Linked DNA regions of Mus musculus. The protein of the gene in region 2 interacts with the protein of the main gene of each other region in a biochemical or structural test. Links are inferred from orthologs where the notes say so. Each region holds a gene or a part of one and is shown on either strand. Other genes may lie near its edges.

Region 1 (3,724 bases), on a different chromosome or scaffold from region 2:
TAAGTAGTGATATGATGCTTCACATTTTAAAAACTGCACAATCGCTTCTGGGCATATTTGTCTGTATTAGAGTGCCTCTTCCCTTCTCATGAAACACCGCACAGCCTTTACACAGTGGTGCTCCCTGTAGTCCTAGCTGGAGGCAGAGGCTGCGCTGTCTGCATAGTAGACTACATTGCATCTTGGGCTGCTTAGAAGACCCTGTTTCAACCTCACCCCTCAAAGATAAACAGACACAAGTTGTAATTGCAAAGCTCCGCCTGCTGGTGTGTTTCTAGGTACAAGTTGTAGGCATTATTTTCATAGGGAGAGCATGACTTTCTGTGTGAATGACTTTGGCAGGTGCTATTTTGTGCTTTACTTAATAAAAAAAATGGTTCTGAGGAGTCATACTTTTGGAAACCATCAGTTTTGACTGGGTATGATGGAACACTGCTTTAATCCCATAGTACGGGACACTGAGGCTGAACTCATGAATTCTCAGGCCAGCCTGGACTGTATAGAAAGTGCCTGTCTTAAAACAAGTGAACAGCCACAAGCAGTTTTAAGTTTAGAACATGACAGGTACCCAGGCAAAGGCTCTGTTGCTGTAGATGGAGCTGCACAGGGCAGCCCAGCACCCTCCCCTTACATCCTCTGTGCACCTTAGGAGTACTTCCTATCCCATTCCCAGGGCTGCTGGGAATCTTACACTGGGGCCTTTACTTAAGATTTTGTAGCCAGGCGTGGTGGTGCACGCCTTCAATCCCAACACTTGGGAGGCAGAGGCAGGCAGATTTTTGAGTTTGAGGCCATCCTGGTCTACAGAGTGAGTTCCAGGAGAGCCAGGGCTACACAGAGAAACCCTGTCTTGAAAAACAAAACAAAACAAAACAAAAAAACGACAACAACAAAAAGATTTTGTTTTGGTTATAATTAAGTATATCTTCTTGTTATTCTTGAGAGTAGGTTGGATTGATTTCGGTAATTATCTGACATTAAAGTATTGGCTCTAACATTTTAGTGTGCTACATTATTCCAGCAGGACTATATGCCCCAAGCAAGTTATGCAGGAAACGGCACCTCCTTCGGAGGAGTGCCACTGACATACATTTTAATTCGTGATGTGGCATAATCTACTTTCCTAAAAGGTGTATGTCCAACATCGTCTTGATTTTTGTAGCATCTCTCTTCTCTGTGGAGGAGTAGTCATGGAAACACACAAGCTCAGGCACTTACTCTGACAGTACTGTTTGATTCCGAGTGTGCTTGCTCTCTGCTGTGCGCTTTATGCTGTGCTGTGCTCTGCTTCCCTCACAGGTGTTTTGCTGGAGATCAATCAGCAGTTCTCTGAAGCAGTGCCGATGGGCCTATCCTCGCCAGGTGTCAATCTCCGATATTGCTTTAAATAGAAATGAAATTCTGTTTGTCACACAGGATGGGGAAGGATTTAAAGGGAAATGGTTTGAAGACAAAAGAAAGAATTCTGAAAAGAAAGGTCAGTTAGTATGACTGCCCTTAGTACCCTAGTCAGCTTTGGATGTGTTAGGTACTGCTCGGCTGACCTCTAAACTGTGTGTTTGCCTTTGTGCTTAGTTCAGTGCCTGTTTGCTACAGACTGTAAAGTCACTCATGGCACAAGGCATGGGTGTCCCTCTCTGTCATTAGCATTGAATGTACTCTCTGGCATTGTGGTCCTTCATTACGTCCTCTTGAGTCACTGAGCTACCTGTTAAATGCTTACAGCATATCTTAACATTTATGATTGCTCAGAGTTATAAATGCATCAAAATTATAAAACATAAAATGAAGAGTTTTGCATAATATTGGTTTCTTGTGTTTTATATTTTTATAGATGACTCAAGTCTATAAACATGCAAGGTGTATTGACTATGCAAAAATGTGGGACTCACAGCTTATAGAACCAAAAGATATTTTTACTTAAAGTTCCCTGAGGCAGATAACTATTATAAGTACACATGAGTTTCTTAAGAGCATTGGAGTTAGAATTACTGAGTGGTAGAGGAAGCATAGCGAAGTCCAGGAGCCTGAAATAGTCTACATTTGAGAGTGTAACCAGAGCATGGGTCTGTCTTGAAGGGTTTGACATCATTCTCTTAGTGGTCTGACACAGAATTTGCGATCTCAGGCTCCCTGAGCTGATTCTCAGTGTTTTCTGCCCTAGTGACTGGCTGTACTTTAAACTCCATACCGTCCCTTACTTTTAGCAGTTGCTATGTTGTGCTGCTCCTATCTTAATTTATTTTAAAGATTTATTCCCTTAATTTATGTATATGAGTACACTCTCGCTGTCTTCAGACATAACAGAAGAGGGCATCGGATCCCATTGTAGATGGTTTGGAGCTACCATGTGGTTGCTGGGAATTGAACTCAGGACCTCTGGAAGAGCAGTCAATGCTCTTCACCAGTGAGCCATCTCTCCAGCCCATCTTAATTTTTTTTTAAAAATCATTCCTTTTCCCTTCTCCTGGTTGATTGCAACAGTCCCAATCTAAACCATCTTTATTATTTCTGTTGACTTAATAGTCTTTGTGTATATTTTCTCATTTAAAATTTTTCTACTGTAGCCAGAAAATTTTTTTTATAGGTGCCATATCTACCTGGAACCATTTTATACTTTGTTTTATAGACTGAATTTGACTATTTATTAGTCATATTTTTATTGCATGTTCTCATTACTCTTCTTGAGGATAGGGACATTTTGCCCTGACTCAGTAGTAGCACAGTGTGGTCATTTGGGCTCCGTGCCTGCAGAGAATGGAGGGAGCGTGTGGTGACACTTGGGTTCATACAGGGTTAATATAGGTAGGCATGCCGTTCTGAAAGTTAACTTGGGCTGCAGTGTGGAAGGTGTGTTTGTCGGAAGAAGATATGGCTGATACTGAAAATTCTCTGTGTATGTAGTAAGTACACAGAGCGTAATGCTGTGTTGAAGATGGAGAGGTTCTAAATTCTTCAGAAGAACTTCATGTGTATGAAAGATACTTTTATGTTTTTAAATAATTTTTATTCCAGTTACTCTAATTTCATTGCAGCCTTGATTAATGATAGTTCGTTTATTTTCTTTTTAGCAGACATTTTACCAAACCTCCATCATTCCTCATCAGATGTGTCTTGTGTCCCTGATACAAATAGTGTGTATGAAAGAATTCGACTTGAGAAACTTCCTTTTGCCCATAGAGCTGTTAGTGTCAGCACAGATCCAAGTGGGTGCAACTTTGCAATCCTACAGTCAGACCCTAAAACAAGGTATAATTGTCTTTAATATATTCTATTTTTAGAAGGAATAATCATTAGACCTTCTTTTGTTTTCAGTAGCTCCTGATGCATATTCAATTGAGGAGCTGTTAGTAAGATCTGTAGAGACGTTCAGCAAATGAGTATGTTACAGGGCAATCACTGGGATAGTGTGTCTTCCCCTAGTGTGTACCTGAAAACACTGAAGATGGTGCATATGCCCACACAGCATCTGTCTTTAGCCCATGCTGTACTTGAGAGTCCCGGGCTCTGAAGGATGTAGTATAAATACTTTTTAGGTAGTGTGTAAAAGTTTCTGACTTTTGAATATGATAATTGACAAAAAAGAGGTGGTATGGTCACAGAAAATATATTAGGAGATATATTAGGGGAGAGAGAAGAGGAACATTAGTGGCATTGGTGGAGAGGGAGGAGGACCTGGAAGTGGGGTGACCATCCATTCTGGTTTGCCCAAGTCCGAGGCAGA
Region 2 (3,500 bases):
CTGGCCTAGAAGCCAACCAAGCACTCTCTCTTTACAGGTGGTATTCCAAGCACATGACTCGAAGTCAAGCTGAGCAACTGCTAAAGCAAGAGGTGAGTTCAGGCCGCAAGCAAAATGCATTCTCAGTACACAATATGCAAAACCCAGAATTAGGTCCAACTTTAAACTGCACTCCCAGTTTGAGCTTTTGACGCATTAAAAGTGAAGAGGTTGCATCTCCAGCAGGGACCTTGAGCAGAAAGTCAGGGCTATTCTATTTTCTCTCTCCTGTGTTTGGCCAGGTAGGATGCAGACATAAACACTGTAGCAGTGAATTTGTTAAACTGCTCTGGCTCCTGGAGCCAGCTAATTTTGATATGCCTTGATATCGGTGATATCAATGATTGATAGTTCAATGGCTGGGCACTTCGAAACCTCCCCTCGGCTAGCACACACTTCCCTCAGGTATTCCTGGTTTAACATCTTCTAAATCTCTATTTTATCTTTGCTGCCCTATTACTTTCTGGGCACTGCCCCCCCACCCCCCACCCCCACCCCCGAGTATTCCCTTTCCACCTACATTGCTAGATGGTTTCTCTCCTGCAGCTCTTAAATCTGACCCCTCTGCCTCCGAGTCAGTGTGATTCTCCCCTTTCTCTCCCTCTTGCTCCCTTGCCCACTTAATCTAAAGGTCCCATCTCCTTGCCTTGCCGTTGGCTGTATGGCAGTTCTTTATTATCAATCAATATAATCAATATAATCCCAGCTTGGGGCAGGGATCCTCAGGTCTGGAAGTGCGGCTTTTAGGAGCCGAAATAAGACAAAAGCATTAGAACCAATTCCCAACAAAACACCATTTTCTTTTACAGTGAACTTCTTTTTTGTTGTTTCAGGGGAAAGAAGGAGGTTTCATTGTCAGAGACTCCAGCAAAGCTGGAAAATACACCGTGTCTGTGTTTGCTAAATCTACTGGGTACGTGTTATGGTTCCAGTGATATGGGGTTAAAGGTTAAGGGTGGCCTCCCAACACTTCCTCTTTCACTTTCTCAGCCTTAAACATAAAATTGCCTCACTTCATTGTCCAGGTCCTTCCGTATCTTGTTCCCAAGTTACTGACTGAATATAATTTCCTCAGGGAGCCTCAAGGGGTGATCCGCCATTACGTTGTGTGTTCCACGCCACAGAGCCAGTATTACCTGGCTGAGAAACACCTCTTCAGCACCATCCCTGAGCTCATTAACTACCATCAACACAACTCTGCAGGTGAGTGCCTGCAGGCAGCAGAGAAGGCTTGCAAACACCCAGGGAAGCAATTCAAAACAAGGAGAGAGAAAGTAGTCCCACCAAGCAGTGTGAATTAGTTATGAAAGTTAGTCCCTGTGACGCTGAACAAGGTTCGAGTCAAGATGTAGTCACACACACACACATTGACTTATTTATTTATTTTCTTTTTCTTTTTTCTTTTTTGTTTTTTCGAGACAGGGTTTCTCTGTGTAGCCCTGGCTGTCCTGGAACTCACTCTGTAGACCAGGCTGGCCTCGAACTCAGAAGTCCATCTGCCTCTGCCTCCCAAGTGCTGGGATCAAAGGCGTGCACCACCACACCCAGCTTATTTTTATTTTTTATTTTTATGTAGTGCCCCACCACGCCCAGCTTATTTTTATTTTTTTATTTTTATGTAGTGCCAGGGAATTTAACCCAACATTCTAGGCAAGTGTTCTACCATTGAGCAACTCTCTCAGTCCTGTTTGTTTTTACTTTTGTTTTCTTTTGGGTTTTCAAGACAGAGTTTCTCTATGGAGCCCTGGCTATCCTAGAACTCATTCTGTAAACCAGAGATCTGCCTGCCTTTGCCTCTGCCTCTGCCTTCCAGTGCTAGAATTAAAGCATGTGCCACCACATCTGGCTTTACTTGTTTTTAAAAAAATTTACAATTTTTTATTAATTCTTCATAAATGTCACATCATGTACCCCAATCTCACACATCTCCCCATCCCTTCAATATCCGCCCTCCACCCCTGCAACTTCCCTCCCAAAAGAAAGCAAAAAATAAAAATAGAAATGAAAGACAAACAAACAAAGAAGTAAAAACTCTGGCCCTGGAAGCAGCACACCCTTTCCCCTAATTGGCTTTACTTGCAAATGTTCACTGCAACGAGCCATTGGTCTGGTTCAAGGCCTCTAGCTTCTGCTACACTATCAATACTGGATCCTCACCAGGACTCCTTTTGGAAATCCTTTTTTTTTTTTTAAAGATTTATTTATTTATTATATGTAAGTACACTGTAGCTGTCCTCAGATACTCCAGAAGAACGCATCAGATTTCGTTATGGATGGTTGTGAGCCACCATGTGGTTGCTGGGATTTGAACTCAGGACCTTTGGAAGAGCAGTCGGTGCTCTTAACCACTAACCCACTAAGCCATCTCGCCAGCCCCAGAAATCCTATTTTTTTGCCCTTGGTCATGGAGATCCTGCAGCTTTGGGATCTGTAGGACTGGCCTCTCCACAGGCTCCATAGATGGGGTGGATGTTGGGGTGGGCCAACTCAGAGCCCTGGATCTGGGCCTGGGAAGCATCTGAGCTGGTCAGCCCACCCACTCTCTGGCACCTGCATCACCAGGGTCAGCTCTCCCACTTTTCCCAATCAAGGGGTGGGGCTGGCTCTCCTGTCTCACACCCTTGGGGCTGGCTCACCCATGCCCCCACCAACAGAGCCAACTCTACTGTGCTGCCCAGGCAATGGATGTGGGAAGGGACAGTTTACCTTTTATTTTTACGCAGGCTCTTACTATGTTGTTAAGACTGGCATGGAACTTACTCTGTAGGCCAGGCTATCCTTGAATTCCTGATTCTCCTGCCTCAGCTTCCTGAGCTGGGGTTACAGGCTTGTATAGTGGGACTGACAAGACTATTTCTCTTCCTCATCTGCCATTTATATTTATTATTTTAAAGTGTGTTTGTGTGCGTATGAGTGTTTGAGAGAGAGAGAGAGAGAGAGAGAGAGAGAGAGAAGAGAGAAGAGAGAAGAGAGAACAGGCGCCTATGGGGTCTAGAGGCATTGGATTTCCTGGAACTATGGTTATGTGGGTGCTGGGAACTGAACTCAGGTCCTCTATAAGAACAGTATGTGCTCTTAACCACTGAGCCACTTCTCCATCTGAGGACTAACTTCTTACTTGGTGCTAAGTGAAGATGCGATGATACAGTGACTAATGAGTCAGAGCATGTTCACTAGCAACTATTCAGTGTTCCTACCACGTACCCTTGCAATTCAGTGTTCCTACCACGTACCCTTGCAATTCATTCAGTTCTAGGAGGGAATAAACTTCTGAGTCAAGATGCTTTTTCCTGCTTATTTTTGATTCAATAAAGTTTTATTTTCCCCAAATGTACAGCTGATTGAACCTGTTCCTGCACCTTCACCAGCAGCTGGGGCATCTCCACCCCTTGTGTTTCTGGTGTAAATGGGCTCTGTGCTTTGAAACCAGCTTGAGCAGTCCTTTAGTAAGGAGCTCCAGA
Region 3 (3,800 bases), on a different chromosome or scaffold from region 2:
ACATTAGTACCCACCGCCACGCACAGATCAGTGAGTTCAAGGCTATATGCTATCAGAAAGCAGGCTGCCAGTGAACTTCCAGTGAAGTATTTTCCTCTTCCCCACACCCTGGCTCTGAGGGGCCTGATGTTCTCTGCTTTCTCCTTAGGCTCGTCTTGTTCTTTCTACTTCAAGAAATAGGTTCTTACCGCAGCCCTCTGAAGTCCCTTAGCTGTGACAGTCACTCACAGGGGTATGCTCCCACTGGCAAGTAACCCCAACCACTACTTAGAAATTGGTGGCTTCTAAGAACCCGAACTTGTTTACAGGAAGGCTGAAACATTCTCAAGTTCAAATCAAGATCTTATCTTCCAAAATTTTTCCCAGCAGGAAAGCCCTTCCCAGCCTAAACAGCTTTTTGTTACCATTAAGATCATTACATTCTGCTCACGCTGACAGTAAATAAATGAGGGGGGAATCAGAAAGGTGAATTGTTAGAATGGGAAGTAAAATATCTGGCTTAAGTCTGAGGGAACCATAGCAGCTCCAAGCATGAATGGAAGGAGCCACCCTAAATAAAATACTGAGAGATGTAAACTCCATTAAAGTGTTTGGCTAAATCGAAATTCTTTTAGCCTTTCCACAGATCCCAGAATATTTGGAGCCTAAAGCATTGTTTAATACTCTGCTCAGCCCTTGATTCTGGCCCCAATGGAGCCTCCACAATGAAAAACAGCACATGAAATTGGATCCAGGCTCTGCCCACAGCCTGGACTGAGTGTATTTTACTGTCCACACATGCTGTTGCTCAACCTCCAAGCAAGGGCCTCCTGCAGTCGCCCTCCAGCTATTAAAACAAAATTAACCAGCCCAGGGTCAAAGGTGACTGACACTGTTTCACCCCAGAACAGTGCCCCAGCTCCCTGTACCTCAAGCTCAGTCTCCCGTCGGTTGATATCATCCGTGGATTGATTTAACTTCTCCAGTTCTCCCTAATGAAGAGAGAGAGAGAGAGAGAGAGAGAGAGAAATTAGAAGGGCTGGGCTTTTGTTTTTAGTGTAACTTAGTTTACAACTGGAAGGTCATCCCTGAATGATGCAAGTCGGTTCATTCCTCAAGAAGACAGCTGAGGCTCGGCTAAAAGACAAAAGCCTAAAACCTGTTGTAGGCTGTGTCCTTTTTTTTTTGGACGCCTTTAAAGTCCTACAGATTTATCTTTCTCTGAAAAGTCATTGTTCTTTTTTTTTTTCTTTCAGGTGAACTCATCTGTCATAAACAGTAACTTAACCCAGTCAAAACAGCACCCTTTGCTTTAGGAAAGAACTTTTCGAGGAAATCAGAACAGGACAATACGGCCAGTGCAGCCCAGCCAAAGGCAGACTTCCAGCATTAACTCATCATGGGCTATCTCCCTATAAAGAGATGATTTTTTTTTTTTCTAACTGCGAACTATTTGCCCTGCCTAACTGGGGTGTTGGTTAACTGACTGTAACCCTACCTCTTTTAAACATTTGCAGTCTGACATTTTGTAAGTAGCCAACATGAGTTAACTCATCCTCGTTCAGCTCATCTTTGCTCTGTGAACAAAGGTCTTGCTAACAAAATTCCACACCAAATCCACAAGATTCTGTAATCCAAGCCCAGGGCCCGAATTAACAGAATAACCAATGAGGAGGTTTTCTTACTGATCTTTAGTGTATTGACTTGACAAAATAATTAATTTAAGCCAAACTGATGAATTTAAAGCAGGCTCTTTTTTTTTCTTTATCTGTGCACTTAAAACCAATTATGGATCCAGAAATTGCAAAGTATGTTTAATAGCTATTTTTTAAAAAATGATTTATGGAAAGGGTACAAAACGGGTCATGAAAAGGAATTTGCTTTGTGCTTAGGAAGGTGAAGAGGTTAAGCTGTCACTCCTGGAAATTGTTTTTTAACTCTCTCTCCTGGAAATGGAGGCACAGAAAGCCAGGCATTCTCTGCTTTCCCTGCCTCCACGCGTCGGCTTTGCGCAGCAGCTGTCCCTGGTGGACGTTCACACTGACCTCACAAGGAAAAGGAGGGTTTTAAACAGTCTCAGGCCAAGTGCAACACAGTGCCAACGGTGGCAACGGCAACGACGCCCACCATGTGTTGACAATGAAGAGGACGGCAGCCCAGGCCAGGTGAGGGCTCACGAGGCACCCCACACCGGTGCAGCCCACACTACAGGGGCAAGCGACAGCCACCTTGCCCTGCTCGCCCACCACGATGTCTGCATCCACGCAGGTGGGATAACGCTGCGCTGCAGCCCCGAGGCTGTGCAGTGCTCCAAGCGTGGCGCTGAGGTACCCCGACTCCGCTCGGGGCCCCCGCCCCCTTTTTCCTTTGTTGCAATCCGCCTGAACAGCTGGTCGTGTAGTAGGGACCCTCGGGTTGGGCCGAGGGTCTGCAGGGATCCCCGCAATAATCAGGCCGCGTTCACGCGGGCACCGAAGCCTTCCGCAGGGAGACCGTGAAATGGGGTGTTCCAACCCTTGGTGAAGATCCTGAATTTAGGCAGCCCCCACCCCGCGACCGCGAACACGCGAGGCTGTAAGGCATGTGTCTGCGTTAGATGCCGACTTCCACGGTAGCCCTGGTGGGGTGCGGCTGTGGGCTCCTGTCACGCGTCCTACCTGGATCCGGGGGTCCACCTCTTCCTCCTCCTCCTCCAGGCCCTGTTCCATCCTCTCTTCCTCCTCCTCTTTCTCCTCCACCTCCCGGGCAGGCGGCGGGAGCTCCGCCGGCTCGTCAGAGCGGCTCCGTTTCAGCGCCGTGTCCATGCGGGCAGCCGAACGCGCCGCAGCCGGGTCGCAAAGCGCACGGTGGGATCCGGACGCACCGAGGGCCACCTCGCCGCAGCCGGGTAGGTCTGAGCGCGCAGCGCTGCCACCCCGGGTGCTCCGCCGGCGAGTGCGGAGTGGCAGAGGAAGTGGGCGCGGCTGCCCCCTGTCTGCAGCGGCCCGCAGTACACCGCACCCACTTTGCCCAGGCCGCCGTGATAGCCTGTGTCACCCGACACTCTGTCACAAAAAGCCCAGTGCACTGGAGTCCCGGCCATGGCCACTAGGAGAGGTGCCGCCCAGTGGCTCACCAGCCCGAGCGTGGGCCGCCTTAAGGTAGTTTCCTCCTGCCTCCAGTGAAGCAGATCAAGGCACAGAAGGAAAGTTCGGGTGATTTCCATTCTTCAAAGCTACCTTTGTGTCTATTTGGAGTCACAGAAAAGGGAACTCTACCCTAATCTTGTCTGTACAGCAGACAGAGGATGGCTAGCCAGGTCCAGCCACCGAGTGGACATCATAGCCTGGAGTCTGCTGGGCAAAGCTCGGCAAGCGAAGGCATGAGCTCTTAGGGCTTTCCTGGATATTCTGAATGCACGAAGAGCCCATGGAGCTGGGGGGGGCGGGGGGGGAAATCTATGGATCGGGCGGCTTTTTAAAGAGATTGCCCTGCTTGCTCGTGGCAAAGCTTGCCCAGTGTAGGAACTATGTGGTTCTGCCCAACATCACCAAGCTAGAGCTTGCCTAGCCAACTGGGCATCACAAAAGGGCTAACAGTGGACAGGTTTCTCTGAACGTTTACAGGTGCTAGGGCCACTGTGAGGTCAGGGACTACCTGGTCAGATGCCCTGAGCAAAGTGGATACTTTGTAGAGGGAGTTTGGAGGACAGCTTTGCTTGAGAGAGTTGTTCTCGGAGCCTGTGATCCTGCCTTTTCCCCCACCTCAGAAGCAAAGCAAAGGGGTATCTGTCCTCTTTCTCAACTGGTCAGTCTTCTTCAAAGCCAGTACCAGAGAATCTC

What was found.
Region 1: the proteins of Btk (region 2) and Ibtk form a complex in vitro, tested with the Homo sapiens proteins (2 studies listed by BioGRID). The link is inferred for Mus musculus from reciprocal best matches to the Homo sapiens genes BTK and IBTK.
Region 3: the proteins of Btk (region 2) and Sh3bp5 form a complex in vitro, tested with the Homo sapiens proteins (2 studies listed by BioGRID, with this or other methods). The link is inferred for Mus musculus from reciprocal best matches to the Homo sapiens genes BTK and SH3BP5.

Annotation. Positions count from the first base shown.
Region 1 is NC_000075.6:85,721,800-85,725,523, reverse strand, and holds part of Ibtk (inhibitor of Bruton tyrosine kinase), read left to right. Parts: intron 1-1,299; coding exon 1,300-1,477; intron 1,478-3,071; coding exon 3,072-3,249; intron 3,250-3,724. UniProt on the Homo sapiens protein: Acts as an inhibitor of BTK tyrosine kinase activity, thereby playing a role in B-cell development. Down-regulates BTK kinase activity, leading to interference with BTK-mediated calcium mobilization and NF-kappa-B-driven transcription.
Region 2 is NC_000086.7:134,552,141-134,555,640, reverse strand, and holds part of Btk (tyrosine-protein kinase BTK), read left to right. Parts: intron 1-37; coding exon 38-92; intron 93-872; coding exon 873-952; intron 953-1,114; coding exon 1,115-1,242; intron 1,243-3,500. UniProt on the Homo sapiens protein: Non-receptor tyrosine kinase indispensable for B lymphocyte development, differentiation and signaling. Binding of antigen to the B-cell antigen receptor (BCR) triggers signaling that ultimately leads to B-cell activation.
Region 3 is NC_000080.6:31,433,175-31,436,974, forward strand, and holds the start of Sh3bp5 (SH3 domain-binding protein 5), read right to left. Parts: upstream 2,927-3,800; 5' UTR 2,784-2,926; coding exon 2,637-2,783; exon of another isoform or gene 2,025-2,636; intron 972-2,024; coding exon 909-971; intron 1-908. UniProt on the Homo sapiens protein: Functions as a guanine nucleotide exchange factor (GEF) with specificity for RAB11A and RAB25. Inhibits the auto- and transphosphorylation activity of BTK. Plays a negative regulatory role in BTK-related cytoplasmic signaling in B-cells.